Macaca mulatta: one gene and its partners. The protein of the gene in region 4 interacts with the protein of the main gene of each other region in a pairwise test. Links are inferred from orthologs where the notes say so. Each region holds a gene or a part of one and is shown on either strand. Other genes may lie near its edges.

Region 1 (4,116 bases), on a different chromosome or scaffold from region 4:
ACTGGGCATCCCAGGCTCTGGGGAGATGTGTGTGACTGGAGGGACTTCCTAAGTCTGAGATGTCTGAGGTGGGACCTCTCTCTCGCCAGAGATTTTCAAGCTGGAAACAGGTGGGCGTGCACAGGGAAGAAATGAGGCCAGGGCCAGGGGGAGTTAGCCTAGCTGCCCCCACTTTCCTGCAGGTCTTTGTTGCAAGTCTAACCTCTGACCCTCTGCTGGCCTCAGCCCTGACCCCTATCCAGAACTCCCACTGTGCTCCCTGGCCAGTGCCTGCTCTCAAAACTGTCTCCAAATTCACTTCTCTCTTTCACTACCCTAAGGGGAGGGAGAGTCCAGGATGGCAGGAAGAGAGGGGAAAACCGAACCCTAAGCCAGTTCTTGGGAGGGAGGGGAAACCCAGGGAGGAAGGACGGGGGAGTGAGGGGCGGGAGTATTTTGGAAGAGGAGAAGGCTTTTCTTGTCCCAAGAGAGAAGGGAGCACTGTCTGAAGCAGTGGCCCAGCTGGGGGTGTGCAACCCCGAGGTCACCCACTTCAAATGGCCTCTCTGTGTCTCTCCCATGGGGCAGACTCAGGGTTCAAAAGCCTTCTCTCTGCTCTTTGGCCGGCCCAGTTCCATCTCCCCTCTCCCCTCCATCCTAAGATGTCCCTATTCAGCTCTGCCCTCTTTCCCATGGGGCAGTTGGACCTTCCTCCATTCACTTCTCCCTACAGTTTCTCCCTAGAACACAAACGCACCCCCTCCGCCACCCCAGGCTCCCTATCCCTTCTCCGCAGAAAAACTGCAAGTGCTTTCACCCTCGTGACGCTGCCCTCACTGATTCAAGCTTGTCAGTTTGGGCTTTCCCACTGGATGGGCTGGGGCGGGTCACACTCAGGAAAGGAAGGAAAGAAAAGGGGGCTGAAAATTCAGAGCCCAAGGGAAGGGAGAATGAGCAGCCGGGCACACCCTGAAAGAGACACACCCAGAGACGGCCTTTGCTGGGGCAGGATCTTTTGGGCTCAAAATGGAACAGGAGGGCTCTGAGAAGGAAGGGTGTATGTGCAGAGCGAGGAAGGGTGGTGGCAGGAATTAACAAGAAAGAAGAGAGGAAGACAAGAAAACAGGGGTATAAAAAAGAAATAAAGACCAGAGTCCAAAGAGAATTGACAAGTGGGCTTCTAAGAAGTCTGGCTTGGCTGCTTCCCTACCTGTTTGTGGTGTCTTTCGGGGGACCCCTTGGCAAGGCAGCTGCGGCTGAGACGGAGGTAGCCCCCCAGAACCAAGATCTCCTCGGCAGTTGGGTACCGCTTCTTCCCAGCTCCTGGGACTGCAGCATCAGCTGTGGCTGGAGAGGTTGGGGTGGCTGGGGTCGTAGGGGGCACAGACCGCCGGGGGTTGACGGTGAAGGTGTGTCCACTGCGGCGGGGGGCCCCCACCCCTGGCCCTGCCTTCACCCCATAGAACAGGCGGCTCATGAGGGGATCCCCAGGAGGTTGGGGGGCAGTTGGGGCTGGGGGTGGGGGAGACAGAGGGGCTGGTGGTGGGGGCTGGAGTTCCACTGCTTCCTCTTCCTGCTGTCTCAGGCCTCCAGTCCCAGCGTCCTCTGGTGGGAGGGGGGAGGGCACAGAGCAGCAGTTTTGCAGGGCTCTCAGAGGCCTGCCCTGAGCTCCCGCCTCCTCCTTCTCAGCCTCCCCTTCTCCAGCCTCCACACTAGGAGATTCCAGACGCTTCTCTGCTGACTCTGAAGGTTCTGGTTTCTGAGTTTGAGCCTCTATGTCCCTGGGTGTCCATTCTCGAGCCTTCCCGGAGTTCAGGGTCCATTTCCACCCTTCTGCTGGCTTCATGCCCCTCTCGCCATCTTCCACAGGCCTCTGCTCTGCTGCCTCCATTCCTGTGGAACTGCTGCCTTGGGCCTCCCTTGTCAGGGTCTCGGACAGCTCTGTAGTCTCTTCCGGAGCCACCCCTGGAACTGGCCACTCTTCTTTTCTGCCACATTTTTCCGAGTAGCCTTGTCTTTCTTCTCCTGACCTCAGCCTCCACTCTGTTGCCTCCAGTTGTACCAAACTCTGTTCCTGAGACTCTCTGGAGTCAGGTCTCCATTTATGGGCCTCTGTCAGGCCCAACTTCTGGTAGGCAGATTCCCCTGGGCTCAGTCTACTTTCCACCTCTTTTCTCCTGGGGCTTTGCTCTCGAGACTCTGCTAGTCTCAGACTCCGCTCTGGAGTTTCTCCAGGACTCAGCCTCCATTTCCATGGCTCTGACAGTCGGGAGCTCCTGTCTCCCACCTCTCCTGGGCTTTGCCTCCAGTCCCGAGCCTCCAGAGGCCTCAGGCTGGACTCTTGGGCTCCCCCTATCCCCAGTCTCCTCTCTCTGGTCTCCCTGGGACTTAGTCTCTCTTCTCTTGACTCTCTTCCCTTGGGGCTCTGATCCCGCATCTCCCCAGGGCTGGGTCTCCGCTCCCGGGCCTCCAGAGGCACAGGCTTTCTCTCTGCTAGCAGCTCTTCACTCCTTTGTTGCTGCTGCTGCTGCTGCTGCCGCTCCTGCCGGATGAATCGGTTCTGGTGCACTGGCCCAATAGCCTCCAGAAGGACCGAAGACTCATCTGGGTCTGGAGGGCCAGCCTCTGCAGTCCCCGGCACAGGGCTAGGCTCCCCAGGGGACAGCCCAAGCTTGGCCCGGCGGCGCTCCAGGAGCCCTCGCTTCCAGGCTGGCATCTGGGACAGGCGTTCCCGTTCTGCTTTCTCCCGGCCTCGAACGGACGCCTCCTCCTGCCGGCGCCTGGCTAGCAGCTGTAGCTTCCAGTCTGGGATGGTGGCCATGGTCGCCTTGAGGTGAGGGTAGGGAGCACTGGGGGCAGAGAACAGGAAGGAGAGGCTCCAGAGAGGCCCAGGGGGGAGACTGAGGGTGGGAGGAGAGGAAGTGGAGGGGGAGAGGTGGGACACAAAGCAGGGCAGGGGGGCTAAGGATGAGGACAGAGGGAAAGAGGGAAGGCAGAGAACTGGGGAAATGGAAAAAGTGAAGAGAAGTTGTGAGCCCAAGTTGGGGGTGGTGGGGGTGATGTGAGAGGAAGAGTCCAGATTGGAGGCAATGAGGGCAGGAGCCAGATGTGGCAGTCAGGGTTAATGCGTATTAAAGACAGTCTCTAGGATGTGAGACAGAGAGAGAAGGGCGAAAAGGAAAGTTGGTGTGAGGGAGAAGAGAGAAATGAGGCTGGGGTGAGGGGAATCTGGGTGCAGGCCAGACTGCCTCAGCGATACCCCAGGGAGACTAGTGTGGGAAGGAAGGACCAGGAATCCCTGGAAGGACCAGGAGGCAACGGGACCTGAGGGGGTGTTGGGGAGGCAAGGAGGAGCGGAAAGCGAAGAGGTCTAGGGGAGAAGGGAAACCAAGGAAGAGGGGAAAGGAGCGCGGCGGCAGCAACCCGGCGCGTCTCAGCGCGGGCCCCAAAGGTCCCGGCTCCCCTTCCAGCACCGCTCGGGCCACGCCTCTCCCCAGCCCCCACCCCTCTGCCCCGCACTCCGCCCCCGAGGCGGGTCGGGGGAAATACCCACCCCCGGGACTTTCGGAACCCGGGCGTCAGGGCTGCCAGCGCGTTCCCAGAACCCTGGCGTCCACCCCCACCCTGTCCCGTCACCACCGCCTGCCTCCCCCACCGGCTGCGCCACGCGACCCCAGAGTGCCGAGGGCCGGCTCCATGTCTCTTCTCCCCGGCGCCTGCAAGTCCTGTGCCCCGTCCCCGCTCTCATGGAGCCGTGACAGAGCCGGCAGTCTCCACCCCGCTCTGGACGCACAGACTGACAATCTCGGCACAAAGAGGAGACAGCCAAGATCCGGGCCAGGGATGGGAGCAAGGACCGGAGCGAGGAGACACCCACTCCCCAAGTCTGAGCCCCTCAGTCAACTCACACGCCGCAGGACCCCCGCGGGAGGGGGTGCCGAGGAGCCGGGCGTCCGGAGAGAGGAAGAGGAGGAGAGAGGGACCGAGGGAGATCCGGAGACTAGAGGGAGGGGAGGAGGGAAGGAGAGGAGGGAAGGAGAGGAGGGAAGGAGAGGAGGAGGGAAAGAGGCAGCAAAGGAGGTGGGACGGAGACAGAGACCAGGGGGCCGGGCGGGGGCGGCGACCGCTTTGTCTAAG
Region 2 (4,178 bases), on a different chromosome or scaffold from region 4:
CCTGCCTTCCTCCACACTCCCCTCTGCCTGTCACCCTGTGTCTAGACCCCGCCTGGGGGATGAGAGAGTTCTGAGGCTTACCCACTCCCCCAGCTGGGTGCCATTGGCAGCGGGCAGGCAGTGGCATACGGGGTAGGCTCTGGTTGCCGTAGCAACCTGCCAAAGTCTTGGGTGGAGGCACATGGCCTACAGGGTGTGTGGGGGGAGGGGACTCATTTTTCTCTGTCCTGGCTTAGGCCTCTGGGCTGCATAGCCTATGAACCTGGAGCTCTGCTATTGGAGACATGGGAGTGGGTGAGTGTGAAAGGGAAGGAGAGGGCATCTAAAAGATCTGCAAATAAATTCTAGAGCTATTGCATCACAGATGAGCATAAGGGATCATCTCTGGAAGGCCCCTGTCAAAATGCAAAGAGATCGCCCAGTTGCTCACCTGCTGAAACCCCAGAAAAGGCATCAGGAACCCGAGTTCTAGGCTTACTTCTGCCACTGGTAGGCTGTGTGACCTTGGACAAGCCCCTATTGCTCTCTGGGCCTCAGTTTCTTCAATAGTAAATGGCTGTCCCATGAGATCCCTTTGAGCTCTGGGTGGCTATGCTGGGGGGAGAGGGAACACAGATGCCTGGAAGATGCCCAGCTGGGAAAAGGCTGGGAGTTGTATCAAAGTTGACTCCCAGGTTTAGAGTCAATCCTGGCTCTTTGTAGGTACCTGCCAGGGCATGGGTCTCATGTCCCCGGCCAAGATTGAGACTTTGGACAGTTCCTATGGCCCTGATTTAAAATAAGATGGGGGCAGGGGGGAAACTGTAGTGCCTTGGACCCAAGAGGTTAGAGGAGGAAGGGTTGCACAGGGGCATCTGGCATTTGATCTCCAAATTGTACTGTCCAAAGATGTGCAACCCAGACTATGGCCAGCCCAGTCCATGGGCAGAAGCACCACCACCTCAGTCTGCCCAAAGCAATAGTCATTCCCATCTTCTGAGATGGAATTTCCTGACAGGCTCCATGAGGCTGACCCTGGACAGCTCCTGTCCTGGCATCTCTATGCCCACTCCCTACTCCATTCTGAACACAGTGCCTGTCAAACAGCCCCTCCTCCTTGGCTCTCAGGCCAGGCTGCAATGCCACTTTGTCAGCCTGGAGTTGGTACCTACCATCACCCCACCTCTTCAGCCTTCCTAGAGCCCCTAACCTTCCTGCACAGCTAGTCATGGAGAGCTTGAGCCCATAACTCCAGCTCAATCACTCTCCCTGCCGTCTCTGCAGAGGCCCTCGTTACAAGGAGTTGAAATTTGCCTAAAGCCCACCTGGCTGGTATAATGGCACCCAGCGGGCAAATTCAGGCTAGCAGCTCAGAACGCTGGTCATGCATTTTGGACTCGAACGCAGCCCAGGGGGCAGGGCTGAGGACATGTGTACCTCATTACCCCAGCGATGTGAGCAGCAGTAATTAAACCCGGCTCCACTTAGAAAGACAGAGAGGGACACACACATCCCAGCATTTCTCAGTGGTTTTTCAGCCTTGGCAAAAATATTTAGAACAGTGGGATGGAGACATGCATCCCCTTAGGGAAGATTCCTGCCCCTGCCACAATATGCAAGGAACTCTGTTATCCACTACAGCACCCCCAGACCCATTCTTACCCCAGGACAAAGAGGACATAGTTGGCTTAAATTTTTCCAAGATCAAGGGTTCTCAGTATCTGTGTGATTTCTGGGGATATGCTTTGAGCTGGGCCTCAAGCAGTTGGAATCACCTCAGCAGAGCCATCCACACTCTCCCAGGGCCCCTTGTGACCAGGTCAGAGTCTGGGAGACAGATGGTGGGGTCAAGGGTCAGCTTGGGTCCCAGAAGGGTGTCTTCCACTAAGAAGCTGCCGGGGATTCAGTCCTTACTGGCCATCTTGGCAGCCCTTGGTGCTAATCCAGAGCTCCAGGCCCACTGACATGCTGCTCAAGCAACCTCTACAACACCAAGGCCCCTCCAGCCTTGGTATGAGACTTTTAGCAAAGCGGATTTGGGGAAAGGAGAGCAAGGAGAAAGAAGGTCCCCAGTAGAGTGACACATGTGCACACAGCTTTGCACACTCCAACATATTTGTGAGTATGTTTTTGTGCCAAGCCCAGGAAGGCCAGCTTTAGGGTCTGTCTGGTCGCTGCTCATCCCTCACTTACCTCCCTCAGCTCCTTGGCCACCTCCTTGAGCTCGCGAAGGATGCCCTCAAGCTGCCCGATGACCATCTTCATGCGCTGTCGAATCCGCTCCCGCTCACCACCACTGCTGGGGTCGTCACTGGGCTGCCCGAGGTCCGGGGCGCCCCGAATGTTCATCGTTTACCACGTGGCCGCAGGCCTGCCCATACTCCCCCCAGCTGGGCACACGCTGCGTCTGCCTCCACGGAGCCCCCCTCGGCTGGGCAGAGCTCCACATCTTAACGGCCCCCCAGCCCACCCTGGCCCTGGGCGGCCCTCAACCAGCCCCTGCCCCCTGCCACCCCGCCTCCTCTGCCTCTGGGTGGGGAGTGGGACACCCAGAAGAAGACAGAGTCTGGCAGAGGGGGTCAAGGTGAGGACACGGGAGGGCAGGGGGAGGGGCGTTGGGTCCCAGGAGTGGCCTCCAGGTCTTGAAGTGCCTGTGGGTATGCAGAGCTGATCTCTGCCTGAGCTTGAACACAGAGGCAGGGGGATGACTCTGCAGGGACTAAGGGTAAGAGATGCCCTTGGGATGGGGGAAGGCAGCAGGGATCCCCTCACAACTCCTAGGCAGTTGCAAAGGCAGAGGTCTCTGGATGCAACTGACACCTGCAGAGGGATGGTGGCCAGGGTCTTCCAGATGTGGAAGGGGCTCCGGATATGGGCAGCTCTGGGGAGGGAGCTGGATTGGAAGAGGGCAGCCCCCTGCGGAGAGAGTGAGCCTGGCGTCAGCCCTCCTAGGCTGCAGCACCAGCCGGCAATGCCGCTGCCTCCCTCCTCTCGCCAGCCTGCACCCTTCCTCGCTGGAGATTTTTTTTTTCTTTGTGGGGAGGGGTGGTGGAGGCAGATGGTTTACAGCACAGCCCCTCCTCTAGAGGGAAAGGGAGGGAGCCCCTGCTTTAGAAGCAGAAGTCCTCAGCCTGCTACGGGGCACCCTGGCCGTAGCTCCCGCACCCCCCCCATCCCCCCAGCCAGGCCTGCCCAGGCTGGTTCACCAGAGGGCCTCTCCAGTCACCCATCCTCCCTCCTAGCGCCCTCAGGGTGCCCTCGTTCCCAGTGGACCCTCCCTCCCCCAGCCCCGCCTTCCCTCAGAACCCCCACTCCTGGACTCACCGAGGGTGGGGGCACCGGCCTTCCCTCCAAGCAGCGTCGGGGGCCAAGCCCCAAGACGGGGTTGGGGGGCCCCCAAGGCTCCCTAGGGCGGGCTTCTCTCTCTGGACCCTTCGGCCCCTGGCCTCAGGGAGGTCCTCCGAGCCGTGACCGGAGACATCTGGGCGGTGAGGGGGGGCGGGGCCTCCGCACTCCAGGGAAGGGGGCAGTAAAAATCTTTCTCAAGCCTCTCCAGGCTCGGGGTCGGGAACGAGCGAGGGTTCGGCGGATTCGGGGCTCTGAGGCCACAGGTGACCGGGGCGCGGGGAGGCCGAGGAGACGCCGGGCCGGTCCCAGCGCGTGAGCCAAAGTCGGAGGGCTGGGAGGGCGCCGGGATCCCCTCAGCCCACGTCCGGCATTCCCCGGGCTCTGCACTGTCCGGGATTCGCTCTGTCCAGTCCAGATTGCCCGGATCCGGGCTCCGCCGGGGTCTGCCCTGCCCTACCCAGCCCGGAGTGAGCTGGCACCGCCGGGCGCCCGGGACGCGCTTAGCCCGGACCCAGAACGTCCGCGCCCCGGCACCCGCGGCGTCCGGAGCGGCCGCGAAGGTCCGCTCAGCCCAGCCCCGCGGTTGGCCCTGGGCGAGATCGCTCCAACGGCTCAGTTCACGTTCCGAAAGGTCCGGAATCCACCGGGTCCCCGAGGAGGGGCGGTGTCAGCCGCGGGGACCCAGTCCTCGCCGGGCCCAGCCGAGAGCGCGCGAAGCCGGGGGCCCTGGCCGGGCTGGGTTCGGCGGCCCGGGCGCAGGCGGGAGCAGCGCCGGTAGGAGGAGAGGAGAGGAGGCGAGAAGAGGCGAGGGGAGGAGGCGCGGCGAGGGGAAGTGAGGGGAGGGGGCGCGC
Region 3 (3,500 bases), on a different chromosome or scaffold from region 4:
GGTTCCCCACACTCCCTTCCTCCTCTTCCTCCTCCTCCCCGCCGAGGTCAGAGTCACTGAAACTCAGGATCCGTGCCAGGCTGTCGTCATCAACGCCAGGCTGGAAGCCAGGGCCAGGCAGGCCTGGGTGGGTAGGGCCGTCAGGAGCCTCACTAGTGCCTGACGCTGAGGAAGATGCCGTGGAAGAATCAGTCATGTCGCTGCTGCAGCTGTTGTCTCCCAGCTCATTGTTCATGGGGGGCTTGGCCAGTGGGAAAGCAGGGACCAGGGCCTGCTCACCAGGGCTGGGTGGGCTGCCCTGGGCAGGGGCCTCTAGCTCCCTAAAGCTCTCAGCCTCCTGTTCCAACTGCAGGCGGGTGAGTGTGTGGATGAAATGGGTCTGAACTCTCGCCTGATTAAATTCCACACGGCCCATGGGGTTCTCACAGCCCTCCCTGCAGCAGCCACAGGGGAATGCTGTGTGGTCCATCTGCACAGAAAGTAGAGGTACAAGTGAGGATTACCGTGGAGTACAAAGAAGTCCCCATGCTCAGGTTCCCCATCCCAGCCCAGTCCAGCCACCACACCTGACACTTGATGCCTGCTAGGCTGCAGCTGCAGGTCTCAGGGTCGCAGATCCTATCGCAGTGACAGCCACAATCCTCCCGGGATTGGCGCAGTGCCTGCAGCTCCCGCTTCTCCTCCCGATCGATCCTTCGCACGCCCGAAGCCCTCAGCAGAGCTCGACGTCGCCGGGCTGGGTAGGGCTGTAGGAAGCTCACTTCTTCCAACCGGCCACCTGCCACAGCGACTGCCAAGTCCTCCTCCACAGAGGCATCATCAATGGCATCCACCGCAGGTGGTAGCCCTGCCTCTGCCTTGGGTACCCCGGCTGCCGAAAGCTGCATCCACAGGAAAGAGGTATGTGAGAGGTACAGACGTGGACATGGGCTTAGCCCTACTGTCACTAGACAAACCCTCCCCATGTGCTTACCCTCCCACTACTCATGCTTAATCTGTGATGGGCACTGTGTGTAGACAGTGAACAGGACAGCCAAGAATACAGTCCTCAGGGCATTTGGGAAAAAAAAAAAAAAGAGATATCCTACTCATGGCATTCTCTAGATCATGGACAGACTCCCTTTCCTAACCAGACAGATACGCACCCCCCTAATTCATATCAGCTTCACATCCCCCTCTCCAAAAAGTTCAAGTTCAGATTCAGGTATCATGCCCCCAGCCCCTGCAGCAAATAGACACAAGCCCTCCTCTGTGCCTCCTGTTTGCAGACAACCCAGGCAACAGACTCCAATCAAGCCAATCACTAGGCCCACAGGCCTGTTTCCCCATATACATAATGAGCAAGTCAGCACCCACCCCTGGTACACCCACCCCTCGAGGTTAGAACTCCAGGAACTGCCTTAGGAGGTGGGCCACGGAGAGGGCTCTCTCTACCTTCCACTGCAGCATCTCCAACTTCTCCTCTTTCAAGCGCTGGCGGAGCTTCTCGTGCCGTGCACGGGCTTGCTCCTGTGCAAACTCAGCCAAAGAGAAGTGGCGGCAGGCACTGTGGCGAGGGGCCATACCCAGAGTACAGCCACCACGGCTGGGCACACTGGTGAAGCCCTGGCAACGGGGAAAGTAGAAGACGGTGATCCCATCAAAGGCTACACGGCCTGGGCGCTCCCGGCGAGCCCGCTTCAGGATAGACAGGGCTGGAAAGCAGGCAAAGATGCTGGGTATTAGTTTTCAGTGAGGCACAACATACCTCCAGGAAGATCATGCCAGACTGCCCTCCCGCCTCCCGCCTTCCCCCTCCTCCCTCTCCGCCCACTTTGAAAAAAGAAATGTGAATTTAGGAGCCTGTGTGGCTGGGACTGGAGCAGCTGAAACTGAACATCACACCCATGTCAGCACTGGCTTATTGTTATTTTCCAGTTTAAATGACAGTATTTGTAAGATTAAACATCTCTGCTATGTTTATTAGCCATGTACAGGTCCTTTGTACAGTTTTCTATTGTTTTTTATTGATTTGTAGGATTTCTGTGTTCTGCAACAGGCTTAAAAAGGCTTTCCCTTTACAAGTTAATGTTTATTGATTAGTAAGCTACGTACTGGTATTTTCATTAGGTTGAACCATAATAAATTACCATGTAATGGTGAAATATTGGAAATTCCATATATTTCAACTTACTGTATTAATTTTATACCCAGCTACCAGGGGGAATTCCCTTCTAAAAGGTTTTCTGTTTATACTGTTAGATCACATGTGCTAAAAATGATATTCTTTTTATGTGTAATGCACAGATATACATACAGTATATAAAAAGGTAAACAGCACATCTATTGTATTAAAATTTCATGGTGGGGGTGAAAATTAAGGAGAAAATGTCTTAATAGGCTTCCTGGGGAACAATAATGAAAAATAAGGTCCAGAAACACTGCTCTAGGGCCACGTTCGTCAGTCTGGAATCACAATTATGCAAGCTTGAAAATAACCAGGAAAAACCCCTTTTCACTATGTTCAGGCAAAATGGACAGCATTGACAGGAGAGGGACCGGCTTGACAGGCCCCATGGCAGAGAAGCATGGGGCGGGCGGGGAACTCCAGTTCCATTTGTAGGAGGGTAGGGTGCTCATTGGAGAAACGAAACTGGAACAGAAGGGAGGGGCCAGACCGGGAAGGCCCTGAGGGCACTCTGGAGAGCTGCATCCTGGATGTCATTACTCCCAAGGTCAAAGGTGAATTAGCTGGGCTCAGGTGCCCCTGGACAGTGGGCACTGAGTGACCACTGTATCACAGCTCGTGAGAGCTACCTCCATGGGGACGTGACCTCCAGAGGCCAAAGGCATTTTGTCAAGGACCTCTACATTTCATCTTTCAGGAAGGAAGGCAGGTGATGGAATTCCCTGGGGAGGGAGGACTCACGGGTGAAACTTCTGGGGCCACAGAAGTCACGGTCAGGCAGGGGCATCTGATCCCAGGGGCCTTCCTCCTCTGAGTCCCAGGCACGGGAGACAGAAGAGCTTGAGCTTGGGGAGCAGGAGCGAGATTGGCACCCAGAGGAAGAAGAAGAGGAGGAGGAGGAGACCAAGGAGTTGTCCTCATCCAGCTGGTCAAATTTCCTCTTCAACAGCCCAGTCATGGTGGTGCCGGAGGTGCTCTGGGGTCTGGGGACAGACAGCCTGGAGTGGGAATGAGAAAGCTCTAAGTGGCAGGCAGGTGGGCTTCCAGCCAGGGTCATCATCCCTCCCACTGACCCTCCAAGGCATCCCAGAAACTGGCCTCTGCCCTCCAGCCCTGCCTGTGGAGCGCTGTGTGGCGGAGGACGGTCTCCAGGAGGATCTCTGCACAAGACACAGCACCTCCCTCCCTCCAAACTAATGTTCAAATCCATGGCCTGATGTGTCAAACTCCCACCTCTGCCCAAAGCCTTCCCAAGCACTAGGTACCTTCCCCACCACCTCCTACAATACACACACACACACACACACACACGCATCCACACCAACAGGGGAAG
Region 4 (3,500 bases):
TTCACACCATACATGAAAAGAAATTCTCTTTGCAATTACTATTTTAATTACATTATAGAAAGCACAACCACTGAGCAAAGAAAAATAGCTTATAAAATTTGTATGTATATATTTTTAGAGATAGGGTCTTCCTCTGTTGCCTAGGCTGGAGTGCAGTGGTGCGATCATAGCTCACTGCAGCCTTAAACCCCTGGGCTCAAGTGATCCTCCCGCCTCAGCCTCCCAAATAGCTATGGCTACAGGTGTGCACCATTACACCTGGCTAATTTTTAACACTTTTTCTAATGACAGGGGTCTCGATATGTTACAAGCTGTTCTCATATTCATGGCATCAAGCAATCCTTCCACCTTGGCCTCTCAAAAGTGCTGGAATTACAGATGCGAATTACTATGCCTGGACAAAATAACTTTTAAAATCCAAGTCAGAGAAAGTTCTGAGAGGATAAAAAACAAACAAGGGAAAATCTATTCACATCTTCAGTGTTCTAGAGGATCCCTGGCACAGCAAATTACATATTGTTCATTTTATAGTTAAAAATACTTTTCCGAGCCGGGCACGGTGGCTCACGCCTGTAATCCCAACACTTTGGAAGTCCAAGGCAGGAGGATTGTTTGAGCCCAGGAATTTGTGACCAGCCTGGGCAACATGGTGAGAACTCATCCTTACAAAAAATAAAATAAAAATAAACATTTTCTGCTCTATTTTCAATCCTAATTTACAGAGTCTAGAATTCCCTGTAATAAATCAGTTCCTTAAGATTTTTATCCAAGTAATCCTGGCTGTATCGGAGTGACAGTGCAATGCAACACATCAACAAAGGAGAGTGTTCTGTCAGAGGAAGTCATCCCAATGGTAACTCACAAATGTTAAAGTGTTCATCCTTTGGAAGGGATCAAAACCTATTTGGAACAAAAATCAGCCCAACTACCTCCATGACAGCAGAATATCTTCTCATCCACGATGGCTGCTATCGGTAAACAGTTAAAACAGTCTGTGAAAGTTTTCCATAGTTTAATGTTGTATCTTCTTTTACCTGTGATCAAAAAGAGAGTATTACTGTTCCGTAGGCTCATTCTCTCAGGATTAACTTCCCCCAAAGCAAGATTCTGGGTGCTTTTTAAGCAAACGAAACTATGTTTTTATTAAGAATCTTAATAAAACTGTCTTATTTTAACACTCTTTTAAAATAAGAGCTGGGCGTGGTGGGTCAGACCTGTAACCCCAGCACTTCGGGAGGTTGAGGTAGGAGGATCGCTTGAGCCCAGGAGTTCAAGAACAGCTTGGGCAACGTAGTGACACCCCATCTCTTTAAAGAAAGACTCTCCTGGAGGGAAGGGGTTTAGGAGAGACACATCTGATCTAAAAGCAATGACTTACATTTTCACATGAAATCTTTTTAAATTCCACAGAAGTATGAAACCAGAATTCCAGATTTGATAATGATTAAGGATTGCCATCAAATCCCAGGAATTATCTGGTAGCATCAATTCTGTCTGAAATCCAGTATGCTTTGTCCAATCTCAACGCAGCTAGTTCCCTAATTCTTAAGGCGATTACGAACTTACACCATGTGGCATTACGACCTTCCTTCTGAGGAATCCTGAGTTAGCACCCATCCCCCATGTACTCCCCTCAACAACCTACAGATACCAGAGGATCCCCAGGCCTCAGTGCTCTAGCAGGAGGCACAATGATCACACGGCAGTGGTGCCTCTCACAGGCACTACAGGGCATTTGTTTCCAACACTGCACAGACTCCACATGCTCCCACAGGCCTGATGTCACAGGGTGGTCACGTTCTCTCACCAGCACAGGCATCCACACATTCTGGAGTCAGAGTGCAGTTCTGACAGAAATATGCCACTATGCACTGTTTCTACAGGAAACTGATGTTCTGAGTTTAAAACCTACTCACATACCTTGCAAGAACAAATTTCTCTGGATTGGTTGAGGACTGTCCAATTGTCCAGATGCCTTTGTTTCCTGTACCTTACTAAGCACAATCTTTAAAAACCAACAGTTTGGCCAGGCGGGGTAGCTCACATCTGTAATCCCAGCTCTTTGGGAGGTCAAGGCGGGCAGATCATCTGAGGTTGGGAGTTTGAGACCAGCCTGACCAAGATGGAGAAATCCCTTCTTTACTAAAAATACAAAAATTAGCTGGGTGTGGTGGTGCATGCCTGTAATCCCAACTACTTGGGAGGCTGAGGCAGGAGAATCGCTTGAACCCGGGGAGGCGGAGATTGTGGTGAGCCTTGATTGTGCCATTGCACTCCGGCCTGGGCAACAAGAGCGAAACTCCATCTCAAAAAACAAACCAAACCAAACCAAACCAAACCAAACCAAGAGTTTGTCCCTATTAGTCTTTTCCTGGGGACTACAGGGACATGGAAAGGTTTAAACCTGTACCTCTCCTTTGAGAGTTAGGGCCAGCCCAAACAACTGACCTGAACCACACTTCCCACCCTGTAATGCAAATCAAGCAGTCTAGGGAGTTTAGCACAGGGCTTGAAATGTAATGTAAATTCAACAAATGTTTGCCTTCTCTCTGCAGAGAAGAGTGTTATCTTTTCTCCTAGTAATTTCTGGTTTCTCAATGACTGGGTCTAACTCTGTGGGTCACCCTGTTGCGCATTTCTTTAGAGGCTACTAACTCCTTCACTGGAGGGGTTCTGAAAGTTCAACAAACTCCTCCCGCCAGGCTGAGGAGGCTGAGGCAGGAAAACTGCTTGAACCTGGGAGGCAGAGGTTGCAGTAAGCCAAGATCGCACCATTGCACTCCAGCCTGGGCAACAAGAGTGAATGAAACTCCATCTAAAAAAAAAAAAAAAAAAAAAAACCAACAAACTCCTCCTTACGAAAGGCTGATGGGCAATCTGCAAAAACACCACCTCCCATGTCCAACAGCAATACTACTACTAACCACCACCACCACCACAAGATGAGTATCCTTAATCCAAGATGCTCCAAAATTTGAAACTTTTTGAGCACTCACATGATGCTCAAAGGAAATGCTCACTGGAGCATTCCGGATTTCAGATTTTTGGATTAGGGATGTTTAACCAGTAATTATAACACAAATATTCCAAAATTAAAACAAAACAAAACAAAACAAAACACAAAACTCTGAAACCTGCAACACTTCTAGTCCCAAGCATTCCAGGTAAGGAATACTTAACCTGTATTATAAGAACAGGGCTGCTGCCTTAGCCCCCCAGTGATAGTGACTTCCTCTTTCCCCAAGGTCAGCTTCACTTCTGGATATTTTTTTTTTTTTGAGGTGGGGTCTCACTCCGTCACCCAGGTGGAGTAAAGCAATGTGATCTCGGCTCACTGCAACCACAGCCTCCCGAGTTCCAGGGATTCTTCTGCCTCAATCTCCTGAGTAGCTGGGACTACAGGTGTGCACCACCACACCTAATTTTTGTATTTTTAGTAGAGATGGGTTTTCACCATGTTGGTCAGACTGGTCTTGAACTCCTGACCTCAAGTGATCCAC
Region 5 (3,984 bases), on a different chromosome or scaffold from region 4:
GCCAAGAATAAAAACAATTGAGACAGCAGTGTCAGGAATGTAGCAGTGTCAGAAATATTTCAAACTCCAACTAATTTCACATAAACATATATTTTTCTCTGACCTAAATCATGAATCTTATGTAAAAGACTAAAACTAATCAAGACACCTTACAGTACTAAATAAACAGTAATCACGAATCGTAGACATCACGGAAATTCAGAGCTGTAAATTTCCCTACCAATCTTCCAGCTCAACTTACACATCACTCAGAGGAAGAAACTGAGGCCCAGTCTTGTAAAATATCCACAACCACAAACGACTGCAGAACTCAGGAAATCTAGGATTCTTTGTTCATCTATACTGGCTCTGATTTTATGAGCAAATTACTGTCAACCATAAATTTAAAATTATAAAATTCTGTCACATCTAACAATAGCTTTCTGGCAGCCAGATCAGAAGTAAACACTTCATAACATAGCACCGTTCACACAAATTAAAACATAAAAGTAGAAATATTTCACAAGGAAATTAACAAAATGTCCTAACTTAAGATAAAACAAAGATTTGATATTGTGAATGAAATGTTTAGACGTTTAGATTAAGGAAGATAACACTTAGAAGTACTTCTTTGGATGTATGCAAGAATTAAAAAATGTTCAAGGCCTATTTTTGTGCGTGATTCTTTGCAGCCAAATCATTTGGTAGATTTGTATTGCCATTCGCCTTTCTGGTTAAATAGTAACTTACTTATCAAGCTTCTTCTTAAATTTTAGTCCCATATAAGAATTTAACCACAAGGTTGTTTATCCCCTCTACATACATGTCACTAGGATCTGAGCAGACCCCTTTGTAGCCAATCAAAGTGAGGCTGCCGTGAATGTAAAAAGCTCCTGCTTTAGATTTGGGGCCTAAAACCCTGGATTTGTTTCCAGACAGACTGATACGTTAGATTGATTTTTTTTTTTCTTCCACACAAGTAAACTTGATACACGCTATTAAATTGGGCCACATTTCAATAGTTCCCATAGCAATTCATAATTTTATATACAACTGATTTGCTTCAAGCTTTGTTTTAACCTAGGAGAGGTAGGTGAGGAAGGAAGGGGGCAAGCACAAACCTAAGGTTGTTGTTTTTAACTGCAGGTGGAAAACATAAGCCAATTTTCTTCAAAATACTAAGCTGCATTTTGTTCCATCTTCGTTTTCAACAAGGCTTCATATAACATCAACACCTAAGGACCTGTATAGAGTACTTCCAATCGGGAGAGGTAGGTTTCTGCTCCCCTAAGAAAAATGGTGCTCCTGGGGTTCCCTTCTCTTACCCTCCCGGTTGCTTTCACTAAGATATACTGATGGCAAACTTGGGTCCCTTGTCCTTTAGTCCCCCTAGACAATCTCTGGCCTAATTTTGATTACTCCTCCCCCTGCGTATCCCTGCTCTCTCTTAATTAGAAATCATACCTCAGAATCGTGCCTCTCTTCCCTCCTTGTAAGAGGAGAACGCCTGACCCACCACCTGGAGAACAATGTAACCCAACTCCGAGTCCATGGATTCCTCTACCCAAGCCCCAAGATTTATCTCCCAGGGAAATCAGAAAGCCAGTTCTGTCCTGTCATCCCGGATTCCCTCAAGGTGTCCTGCTCCTGGCCTAAGATTACCAGCTCCTTCCTACCCTGGAGCATTCTACTCACCCTCCTCTTCCAAGAATCTCGCCCCTCACCCTCGGATCCTTCACCGCGACCCCCGCGCCCACCCGGAGCAGCACAACAAGCGGCGAGTGGCCTCCGAGGGCAGAGCCCGCGAGGGCGGGGGTCGGGGGAGGTCGGGGGCGGGTCGAGAGCGGCGCAGCGGTGGCCGGCCACGTCGGGTCAGTGCCCCACTCCCACGGCAGGACACAAGCCCAGTACCTTTGTAGTGCACCCGCAGGTTGTTCTGAGAGAGGCCGATGTAGCTGAACTTGTCCTTCGGGCTCCAGGACCGAGGCAGCGGCGTCTCCTGCTCGTCCACGGCTGGGTAGAGGCGCTTCAGCCGCCGCTGCAGCTCCTTCTCCTGCTCGTTCAGGGTCGAGTCCCCGTGCGGGAAGGGGGCCGCGGCGCTGCTGCCCGCCACCAGAGCTGGGGCCGGGGCGCCTCCGGCCGGGCCGGGGCCCGCGGCGAGGCCCGGAGGCGCTGGGGGCCCGCTGGCGGGGGCGGCCGCTGAGGCAGGTGGCGGCGGGGGCGGCGGCGGGGGCGGCGGGGCCGCGGTGGCCGGGGGCGGCGGCGGCGGGGGGTGGAGGAGCAGGGCGGCCGCCGCGGCCCCTAAGCCGTCGCCGCCCGCGCCGCCGCCGGGCGAGCCGGCTGGAGAGGAGCCGGCGCTGACGGCCGGGGGCGCCGGCAGGACGACTCCGGACACTGGAGCCAAGGCCGCCGGCGGTGGCGGCGACAACTGCTGCTGCTGTTGTTGCTGCTGCTGCTGCGGCGGCGGCGGCGGCGGCGGCTGCCCGGACATCCCGGCCGCGACTCAGCCTGCGGCCACCTCCACCTCTTCTCTCCTTCCTCCTCTGCTTCCCGGGGGCGCTGTCGCTGCGGCCGCCGGCACCAGGCGCCCAGTCCGCCCGCCCCGGAAGCAGGCGGCGGGCCGCGCGCCCAGGGAGACCGCGGCGGTTGAGGGGCTCGGAGACGCGGGAGTGGGCGGCGGGCCCGGGAGGCCGGGAGAGAACGTTGGCCGGAGCGCGGGCGCGCGGCCCGGGGACGAGGTGCCGAGGGCGGGGGCGACGCGGTAGCGCGGGAGGGGAAGGCGCGCTGGCGGCCGCCGCGGCCGCTGCTCTCGCGGCTGTTTCCCGGCGGGCGGGCCCGGCCGGCGCGAGACGCTGCGCGCGGGCGGTGCTAGGCGAGGGGGCGGGACGGAGGCGCGAGAGAGGCGCGAGCTGCGCGAGGGGCGGGCCGCGGGGCTCCCGGCTGCACGCCGCGAGGCGCCCTCCCGGACCCGCCAGTCGCTCGTGGGCAGGATCGCTGGGCTCCCGGCGCCGCAGGTCCCTTCGGAGATGTCCGCCTCCTCCCGCTAGGCGGCCGCCGTCTCCCCCCTCGCCGGCGAATCCCCTCCCACTTGACTTCTTTTTGTTGTCGTCGCCCCACCTCCCCACCGTAGGGCTCCTCCGAGCCGAGACGCCGCTTCTCGCCCAGGCGAGAGTAATCGAGCCCCGCTGGGGCCGCCGCGAGCCCGGGCCCCGGGTCGCTCTAGGACCCGTCGGCTCGGGGCGTGCGGAGCGGCTGAGGCTCCCCGCGCACTGCCGCTAGCTCTCTTCTCAGTCCGGTTCCCGTTTGCCGCCTCCCTCCAAAGAGGAACGCACTGCCTTTGGTACTTCACAGTGTTTAATTTCGTAACATTGACCATATGGGCAGGGGAAACCACTTCTGAAGGCAGTCTCCCAGTTAAAATAGTGGCTATTTCATTAATTAATTTTACGAGGACTCACAGTGAACTTAGTGGTAGAAGGTGTCATTAATAAAAACCGGCATATCTTCAAATACCAGGAGCAGGCACTGTATGAATACACAATTATAGTGTGTGTTTAGGAAGGGCTTCTAGAGACGTCAGAACATTTTATAGACTCGTTAATTTTCATAACTGTTCTTAGGTAACAGAAAATTATGCCCATTTTTAAAACAAGGAAATATTTACTGAGGTCAGCAGAGTCAAAAATAGGACTTCCTACTTTGCAATTCCCAATAGAGTGCTTCGTCGACTAATTTGGCACAACTTGCCAAGTGTTGCTCTCTGACCCATCATAACATTACTACTTTGTTTTCACCACTTCCCTTTGTTTAGCGTATCCCTCCCTAGCTGGCAAAATCGGGCTTTGCATGTGTAAATTATATGATGTAAATTCTGATATTTTGTTTGCTTCCAAAGATACGATGGTAATCATTTGGTCAAATAAATGTTTTGCCGAAGAGAAAATTATTTCGTTTTGAAGAAGGTAGGCCAAAGGTGATTTAATTTAAGGCCAACATTATCTGGCC
Region 6 (3,500 bases), on a different chromosome or scaffold from region 4:
TGGACACATTTCCACAGAAATTATAGAAAGTGGGTTCAGAGTATGATGGTTTTATCACATAAATTTATAGTATTCCTTAAATTCTGTGACATTTAATCCATCCAAAACCTAAACATGAGGCTGGGTGTGGTAGCTCATGCCTGTAATCCCAACACTTTGGGAGGTTGAAGCAGGCAGATCACTAGAGGTCAGCAGCTCAAGACCAGCCTGGCTAACATGGTGAAACCCCATCTCTACTAAAAGTACAGAAATCAGCTGGGCATGATGGCGCATGCATACAAGTCCTAGCTACTCAGGAGGCTGAGGCACAAAAATGACCTGAATGTGGGAGGCGGAGGCTGCAGTGAGCTGAGATCATGCCACTGCACTCCAACCTGGGCAACAGAGGGAGACTTCATCTCAAAAAACACAAAAACAAAACAAAACACAAAAACCCAGAAAGGCTGGGCACGGTGGCTCAAGCCTGTAATCCCAGCACTTAGGGAGGCCAAGGCAGGTGGATCATGAGATCAGGAGTTCAAGAGCAGCCTGACCAATATGGTGAAACTCCATCTATACTAAAACTACAAAAATTAGCTGGGCGTGTAAAAATACAAAAATTAACCAGGTGTAGTGGTGCGCACCTGCAGTCCTAGCTATTTCGGAGGCTGAGGCAGGAGAATTGCTTGAACCTGGGAGGCAGAGGTTGCAGTGAACCAAGATTGCACCACTGTACTCCAGCCTGGACAACAGAGAAAGACTCCATCTCAAAAACAAAACAAAACAAAAAACAGAAAAAAAAACCCAAACCCTAAACATGAAAATATAACTTGTGCATTTCAGCCTTTATTATGTAAAATTATGAGTATACAAAGCTGTTCCAAAATCTGCTAAAAGCGAAAAATAAGTATTGTTAAAAGAGTAGAATTTCATTATTGTATACAGCCTGTATTGCTGCTAGAACTGAGAGCTTGTTAAGACTCATCAATCTCTGGTTTGCTCCCGCCAGTATTTACATTCTACACCTAGCCCATGTGCTGCCAGTCCAAGCAAATAGAAATTACTAACCTAGTAATCATAGCTGTACTTTATTAGTGAAATCACAAACAACCTAAATGTTTACCTGAAGAACTAAACATTTTTGTCAAGAAAAACATAGCCAATACGCTTCAGATTATTTCACTAACAGAGCTTTATCTACTTACTTTGCATCCTAGTTCTTATTCTTGCAGTCTGGGGGGCCCATTCCTCAAGAGTTCTTTGATATCCTGAGCCTGAAGCAAATACATATATCAAAAGATAATTTCCCATACTTTGAAAGTTTATACCATATTCCAGTGCTATAAAATTAATCTATCAGAAAGACAAAATAAAAGAGGGGAAGAAAACAATAAAAGCAATAGTTTTATAAGTAAAAAATAATTTCAAAGGATCCTATCAGTGAGGATGAACCACTTCCTATAGCAAAGCAGGTAGCAAATAAATATATTATCACTCAGTATAAATTACTTGTGGTAAAATAGCCCTGAACACATTTCCACATCACAGAGTAATTATTACAGGTAGTACCAATCCGTGGTGAATTAAAAAGGTAAAGAGGGGTAAAATGACTTGAAATTTTATTACGACTTTTGTTAGGAGAATAAGGCAAGGTTAGAATTGATTGACTGAGGCTAGGCACGATGGTTTATGCCTGTAATCCCAGCACTTTGGCAGGCCGAGGTGGGCGGATCACGAGGTCAGGAGATCGAGACCATCCTGGCTGACATGGTGAAACCCCGTCTCTACTAAAAAAATACAAAAAACTAGCCGGGCGAGGTGGCGGGCGCCTGTAGTCCCAGCTACTCAGGAGGCTGAGGCAGGAGAATGGCGTGAACCCGGGAGGCAGAGCTTGCAGTGAGCCGAGATCTGGCCACTGCACTCCAGCCTGGGCGGCAGAGCGAGACTCCGTCTCAAAAAAAAAAAAAAAAAAAAAAAAAAAATTTAAAAAATTAGCCGGGCATGGTGGCGGGCGCCTGTAGTCCCAGCTACTCAGCAGGCTGAGGCAGGAGAATGGCGTGAACCCGGGAGGCGGAGCTTGCAGTGAGCCAAGATAGCACCACTGCACTCCAGCCTGGGCCACAGAGTAAGACCCTGCGTCAAAAAAAAAAAAAAAAAAAAAAATTGATTGACTGAAAAAAGAGCAGGCAACCAACTACTTACTCAGCACTGAAGGTTGCTTATCATGAGCTGTGAAGTTGCGACCTGAAACAGAAAACAGGGATGAGGTCATAGAATACTTGAAAATAACAACAAAAAACATGCTGCATAGACATTTTGCTTGTTTACTGTGGATACTAAAACAAACAACAAACAAAAAACATCAGTTCCAAGCATGTAAGTATATAAGTGTGTATATATATATATAAAAACCATGCATATACTATATATATATATATATAAAAGTGTATTTCTTTTCCCCTCATTTCTAAACTTCAAAATGTTTAGGAATTGGACAACAAGAAGGAGTCAGTTTTAGGATCAGTACCATCAAAACAATGATTACGTACAGTCAATGTGTATCAGCTATTGAGTATAATTTTGTTTAATTCTTGTTTTTTGAGACAGGGTCTGACTCTGTCACCCAGGCTGGAGTGCAGTGGTGCAATCTCAGCTCACTGCAACCCTCGCTTCCCGGGTTCAAGATATTCTCCTGCCTCAGCTTCCCAAATACTTGGGATGACAGGTGTGCACCACCACGCAAGACTAAATGTTTTGTATTTTTAGTAGAGACAGGGTTTCACCATGTTTGCCAGGGTGGTCTCAAACTCTTGACCTCAAATGATTTGCCTGCCTCGCCCTCCCAAAGTGCTGGGATTACAGGCATGAGCCACCGTGCCCAGCCAATTTTGCTTAATTCTTGTGTGGCAGATGCTATTGTTGTTCCCATTTTATAAATAAGGGAAAACCAGCCGGATGTGGTGGCTCATACCTGTAATCCCAGCACTTTGGGAGGCCAAGGTGGGCAGATCACAAGGTCGAGATCAAGACCATCCTGGCTAACATGGTGAAACCCTGTCTCTACTAAAAATACAAAAAAAAATTAGCCCGGCATGGTGGCGGGTGCCTGTAGTCCCAGCTACTCGGGAGGCTGAGGCAGGCAGGAATGTCGTGAACCCGGGAGGCGGAGCTTGCTGTGAGCCAAGATTGCGCCACTGCACTACAGCCTGGGCGACAGAGCGAGACTCTATGTCGAAAAAAAAAAGGGAAAACCAAAATTGGTAATTTTTCCAAAATTATATATCTAAAAGTAGTGGGGCCGATACACAAATCCAGGCAGTCCATATCATATACCACATACCATACCATAGAGAAATGGTATATACTATCTATGCAGATTTATGGACATTGCAAAGTAGCTATGAAGTAAAACATGCTACTTCAGGTTTTGAGGAGGTATTTAAGGATAACTGTAAAATGACACAATGGGATGACTAACAAATGGCACCTTTTAACAAGGTGAATTTTCAGATCTGCCCTGA
Region 7 (4,185 bases), on a different chromosome or scaffold from region 4:
GGCACTGAATATTCAAGACACTGAGTTCATTACAGACAAGAGTACAAGGCAGAAAAGTAATAGCACTGTTCATGGTAACTATACATATTAAGGCCTGATCTGACACAAACACTCCTCCCAAAAAAAGCCAAAATACAACTAATTTGTCTCTCTGTAAGGTTAGAAAAACAGTCTAGTAGAGTGAGAACACAAATGTCCTATTTTGGCTCAGACTAACTCTGAGAATGTTTGACAACAAAAGCACTAAAAACTTCAGAGTGGGGTGGGAAAGAGGACAAAATTCTGTCTCTATAATAGAGCAATCTGGGGAAAATAAACTGGGGAGATGGTACAAATTTGATGTAAACCAAGAGAATCATTATTCTACTACTTTATTTCAGCATCCTAAGTGTTTTCTCCAGAAGATATGCCAAGCATCATTTCTTAAAACAACTTGCTTCTGGGGCCGGGCGCGGTGGCTCAAGCCTGTAATCCCAGCACTTTGGGAGGCCGAGACGGGCGGATCACGAGGTCAGGAGATCGAGACCATCCTGGCTGACATGGTGAAACCCCGTCTCTACTTTAAAAATACAAAAAACTAGCCGGGCGAGGTGGCGGGCGCCTATAGTCCCAGCTACTCGGGAGGCTGAGGCAGGAGAATGGCGTGAACCCGGGAGGCGGAGCTTGCAGTGAGCTGAGATCGGGCCACTGCACTCCAACCTGGGCGGCAGAGCGAGACTCTGTCTCAACAAAAAAAAAAAAAAAAAAAAAAAAAAACTTGCTTCTGTTCTTAATTTCTAATGCCAAACTATCGTAAAATTATAATACTGCATCACTATCTTTTGGAAATCTTTTATAGGTAAATTTGAGCGTTTATATTACAAGATTCTCTTTTTTCCTTAATGAATCTAAGGTAAATTAGTAATTGCTTTAGGAAATCATAACTGATTTATTCTGCTTTAGTTTGACCTTCCCTCTTTCAAAGGGGAACTCGTTTATTACTGCTACCCTGTCAATTTGTCTGTTCTGTGGGATAAGAAGGGCTGGCTCTCTCATGAAAAGGTATCACCAAACTTTTTTTTACGTTGGCCATATTCCAAGGCTGTTTGTTTGGAGTGAATGGTAATGACAATGAAATGCAGAAAATTGCTCATTATCTTAAAACAATCTTTAAATAATATGAGAAAAGGATGTCTGGGTAAACTCCTAAAATGGACCAACCGATCCCCAAAAGGGTCTAGGGTCACCTATGTATTATATATGTACCTATAAACATAATTAGGATGCTCCTGGTAAGACAAGATTTCCATCCTTTTTCTGAAACCTCTTAATTCAGGAAGCTGACAGCGATCCCTGGCCCCTAAGTAGTATTTTTAAAAGAAGCTAACTGGTCATAAGGTTTGCAAACATTCAAGCATCAGCCCTTGGAGAGGCCTCTTTTTCATGCTTTCTCTCAAATGGAATTTTTAGTTTAAAATACAGTTTTAAAACAAGACCCTCTGCAACAAAATCTATTTGCAACAGCAACAATTCCCATCTAAGAGGATGGTCAAAGAAACCAAGGGATATATCTGGGAGGTAACTTTTAAGCCACTCCACCACTGTATGTAATCCATACACATCTACAAACGCTGTTTTTTTAGTAATTCACATCTAGCTAATTAAAAAAGCTGAGCTGTCGGCCCTCTGACTCTCGTGGAATCCTTTGGAGTGTTAGCTAGTCATTGTGTGTTGGAATTAGACTAAGCACTGGTTAAAGCCCTGAGGCCTGCTCACTCAGGGCCCTCTAGGTGAAAGATGAGGCTCAGGCAGATGCTTTCTTACCTGTGGAGTCATCGTAGAGGGATCTGGCTCAGGGGCGGCTTGCTGCTGTTCAGCACTCTTGTTTTTGGCCCCACTCTCCAAAGGCTCTTGCTGGACAGTTGTCTTATTTCCAGAGGGGGCGGACGGTGGTGGTGGAGCTAGTAGTTGGGATTTAGAATGGCCCTGGGAGGGGCGGGAAGGAGATGCCTGAGAAGAGGGCAAGTAGGACTGGGAATGGCTCAAATAGGATTGCGAGGAAGAGGAGGAGGATGAGTAAGAAGGGGTGGGCGCCAGGTAGGACTGGGAAGGTGGGGACTGCGAAGGGGACGGCTGAGCAGGAGGCAGATAGGGCTGAGATGAGGACGGGGGGTAGTAAGAGGGTGGCGGCTGAGGTGGGGGCATGTAAGACTGAGATGGTGGCATATAAGACCCGGGCGGCACAGGGGGAGATTCAGGGGGGGATTCCAGCTCCATTGGAACCAAACCAGGAGGCCCGTCTCGTTGGTGGTGGAGCATCTGGTGTTTGTACTGCTGCTGCTTCTGATAGCTGAGGGCCGGCCCAGGTGGCGGGGGCATCGGTGGCGGTGGCGGCTGCCAGTCTCCGTAGCCGCCCCCTGGCATCACCGGCGGGGGCGGCAGGGGGGGCGGAGGAAGGTGGTGGGGCTGAAGCACGCACTGCATTTGCTTCTGGTGCATCTGCTGCAGCTGCTGGAGCTGCGCCAAGTGCTGTTCGCGGAAGCTCATGAAGCCCGAGGAGGAGGGGGCCGCGGGAGTCGTCGAGCTCGAGTACCCGGGCCCCGGCGAGGCCTCAGGAAGCGCCACTGGCGGCGGCGGTGGGACCGGCGGTGGCGGATAGTGGCTGCTCCCGCCATACCGGCCCCAGTTCGGGTACATATCGAAAAAGAAGGCGTAGGGCTCGTCCTGGCACCGTTACTAGTCGCAACCGACCTCCAGGAGCCGCGGCGGCGACGGCGACAGCCGGAACTCGCGGCGCCTACAGGCCCCGGAGCGTGTAAACGGAGCGCGCCAGTGCGCCGGCGCTCGCTAGCTGGGCCCGCGACCGGGAAGGCGGGGACGCGACTTGGGCGACTACGTCTGCGCAGTAACCACCGAGAGGAGAACAAAGGCGAGATAGAGCGGCCCTTTACTTGGAGACTCGTGGTTGCCATCTTCCTTTGGGTTCAGATAATGTAAGCGCGAGTAGAATGTTCTCATATAACTGTAAAACCATAGAGTCTCTCAGCCGAAAGGGGTGGTAGAGATCCTATCGCTCCACGGGTTCATTTTTGAATGGAAAAAAAAAAAAGGTTCCATTCACAATAGCAACAATCGCAACAACAACAACAAAAATAACGTAACTAGGAAAAACTCTTAACAAGAAAGATGTAGGATTTCTATGTAGAAAACTACAGAGTCATAAAGAAGCATATCCACGTAGGATGAAATTAGACTTCAAAAAATGGAGAGGCTTACCATGATCCTGGGTGAAAAGAGGAAAAATTGTAAAGATGTCAGTTTCTCCCAAATTAAATGAATAGACCCAACTCAGGTCTACCCAAAAATTCTACTGGGAACAAAGCTGTGAAGAATGGAAAGGTGTTTTCAAGGCTGCGTGTAAGATTACACCAATTCCTGCAGACATAGTAATAACATCTGCAGGAATTGTAAAAGGCGAGAAATAGAATTTTTTAGACTATCTCAACAACTATAAATCTGTGTTGCAGAATCTCAGAGCGAAAGCGAAGAGAGCAAAAACCAGATACAAAGATGGTCTAGCCGGGCGTGGTGGCTCATGCCTGTAATCCCAGCACTTTGGGAGGCTGAGGCGGGCGGATCACCTGAGGTCGGGAGTTCGAAACCAGCCTGACCAACATGGAGAAACCCTGTCTCTACTAAAAAAATACAAAATTAGCAGGGCATGGTGGTGCATGCCTGTAATCTCAGCTACTTGGGAGGCTGAGGCAGGAGAATCGCTTGAGCTGAGGAAGCGGAGGTTGCTGTGAGCTGAGATCGCGCCATTGCACTCCAGCCTGGGCAACAAGAGTGAAACTCCGTCTCAAAAAAAAAAAAAAAAAAAAAAAAAAAAGATGGTCTAAAGACAACCTGGAAGACAATCTTCCAAAAACTCTCAACATAATACCAAACATAAACTCTTTATTTAGCTTGAGTGAATCACTGAAAACAAAGTTAATACACTGAATTCTGTTGGGTGTGTGTTTGTGGTGGGAGAACTGTGAGAAGATTGTGTCAGTGCATCACTTGAGTAACATGCAAAGAGTTGACCTTTCTTTCATCTTAGCAACCCAGATCTTCACCTCTCTCAGGAGGTGAATGTGAATGGAAAGTGGAGCAGCAAGGCATCCTTCAGAAGGAAGAGCTTCTGTTCTCAAATAGAAATGTAGT

Evidence for each region.
Region 1: the proteins of PPP1CC (region 4) and PPP1R18 interact in a two-hybrid assay, tested with the Homo sapiens proteins (2 studies listed by BioGRID and IntAct). The link is inferred for Macaca mulatta from reciprocal best matches to the Homo sapiens genes PPP1CC and PPP1R18.
Region 2: the proteins of PPP1CC (region 4) and INSYN1 interact in a two-hybrid assay, tested with the Homo sapiens proteins (2 studies listed by BioGRID and IntAct). The link is inferred for Macaca mulatta from reciprocal best matches to the Homo sapiens genes PPP1CC and INSYN1.
Region 3: the proteins of PPP1CC (region 4) and CSRNP1 interact in binary tests that used the Homo sapiens proteins (3 or more experiments, as listed by UniProt). The link is inferred for Macaca mulatta from reciprocal best matches to the Homo sapiens genes PPP1CC and CSRNP1.
Region 5: the proteins of PPP1CC (region 4) and RANBP9 interact in binary tests that used the Homo sapiens proteins (3 or more experiments, as listed by UniProt). The link is inferred for Macaca mulatta from reciprocal best matches to the Homo sapiens genes PPP1CC and RANBP9.
Region 6: the proteins of PPP1CC (region 4) and TOR1AIP1 interact in binary tests that used the Homo sapiens proteins (3 or more experiments, as listed by UniProt). The link is inferred for Macaca mulatta from reciprocal best matches to the Homo sapiens genes PPP1CC and TOR1AIP1.
Region 7: the proteins of PPP1CC (region 4) and YLPM1 interact in a two-hybrid assay, tested with the Homo sapiens proteins (2 studies listed by BioGRID and IntAct). The link is inferred for Macaca mulatta from reciprocal best matches to the Homo sapiens genes PPP1CC and YLPM1.

Annotation. Positions count from the first base shown.
Region 1 is NC_133409.1:152,359,452-152,363,567, reverse strand, and holds the start of PPP1R18 (phostensin), read right to left. Parts: upstream 2,801-4,116; coding exon 1,190-2,800; intron 1-1,189.
Region 2 is NC_133412.1:51,481,282-51,485,459, forward strand, and holds the start of INSYN1 (inhibitory synaptic factor 1), read right to left. Parts: upstream 2,801-4,178; 5' UTR 2,329-2,800; coding exon 2,173-2,328; intron 1-2,172. UniProt on the Homo sapiens protein: Component of the protein machinery at the inhibitory synapses, probably acting as a scaffold. Inhibitory synapses dampen neuronal activity through postsynaptic hyperpolarization.
Region 3 is NC_133407.1:101,446,837-101,450,336, forward strand, and holds part of CSRNP1 (cysteine/serine-rich nuclear protein 1), read right to left. Parts: intron 3,166-3,500; coding exon of another isoform or gene 3,126-3,165; coding exon 2,909-3,125; intron 2,320-2,908; exon of another isoform or gene 1,695-2,319; coding exon 1,435-1,694; exon of another isoform or gene 1,269-1,434; intron 901-1,268; exon of another isoform or gene 882-900; coding exon 567-881; exon of another isoform or gene 470-566; coding exon 1-469. UniProt on the Homo sapiens protein: Binds to the consensus sequence 5'-AGAGTG-3' and has transcriptional activator activity. May have a tumor-suppressor function. May play a role in apoptosis.
Region 4 is NC_133416.1:117,905,047-117,908,546, forward strand, and holds part of PPP1CC (serine/threonine-protein phosphatase PP1-gamma catalytic subunit), read right to left. Parts: intron 1,035-3,500; coding exon 930-1,034; intron 1-929. UniProt on the Homo sapiens protein: Protein phosphatase that associates with over 200 regulatory proteins to form highly specific holoenzymes which dephosphorylate hundreds of biological targets.
Region 5 is NC_133409.1:169,401,130-169,405,113, reverse strand, and holds the start of RANBP9 (ran-binding protein 9), read right to left. Parts: upstream 2,801-3,984; 5' UTR 2,471-2,800; coding exon 1,891-2,470; intron 1-1,890. UniProt on the Homo sapiens protein: May act as scaffolding protein, and as adapter protein to couple membrane receptors to intracellular signaling pathways. Acts as a mediator of cell spreading and actin cytoskeleton rearrangement.
Region 6 is NC_133406.1:37,313,566-37,317,065, reverse strand, and holds part of TOR1AIP1 (torsin-1A-interacting protein 1), read right to left. Parts: intron 2,224-3,500; coding exon 2,182-2,223; intron 1,254-2,181; coding exon 1,185-1,253; intron 1-1,184. UniProt on the Homo sapiens protein: Required for nuclear membrane integrity. Induces TOR1A and TOR1B ATPase activity and is required for their location on the nuclear membrane. Binds to A- and B-type lamins. Possible role in membrane attachment and assembly of the nuclear lamina.
Region 7 is NC_133412.1:147,955,492-147,959,676, reverse strand, and holds the start of YLPM1 (YLP motif-containing protein 1), read right to left. Parts: upstream 2,801-4,185; 5' UTR 2,677-2,800; coding exon 1,804-2,676; intron 1-1,803. UniProt on the Homo sapiens protein: Plays a role in the reduction of telomerase activity during differentiation of embryonic stem cells by binding to the core promoter of TERT and controlling its down-regulation.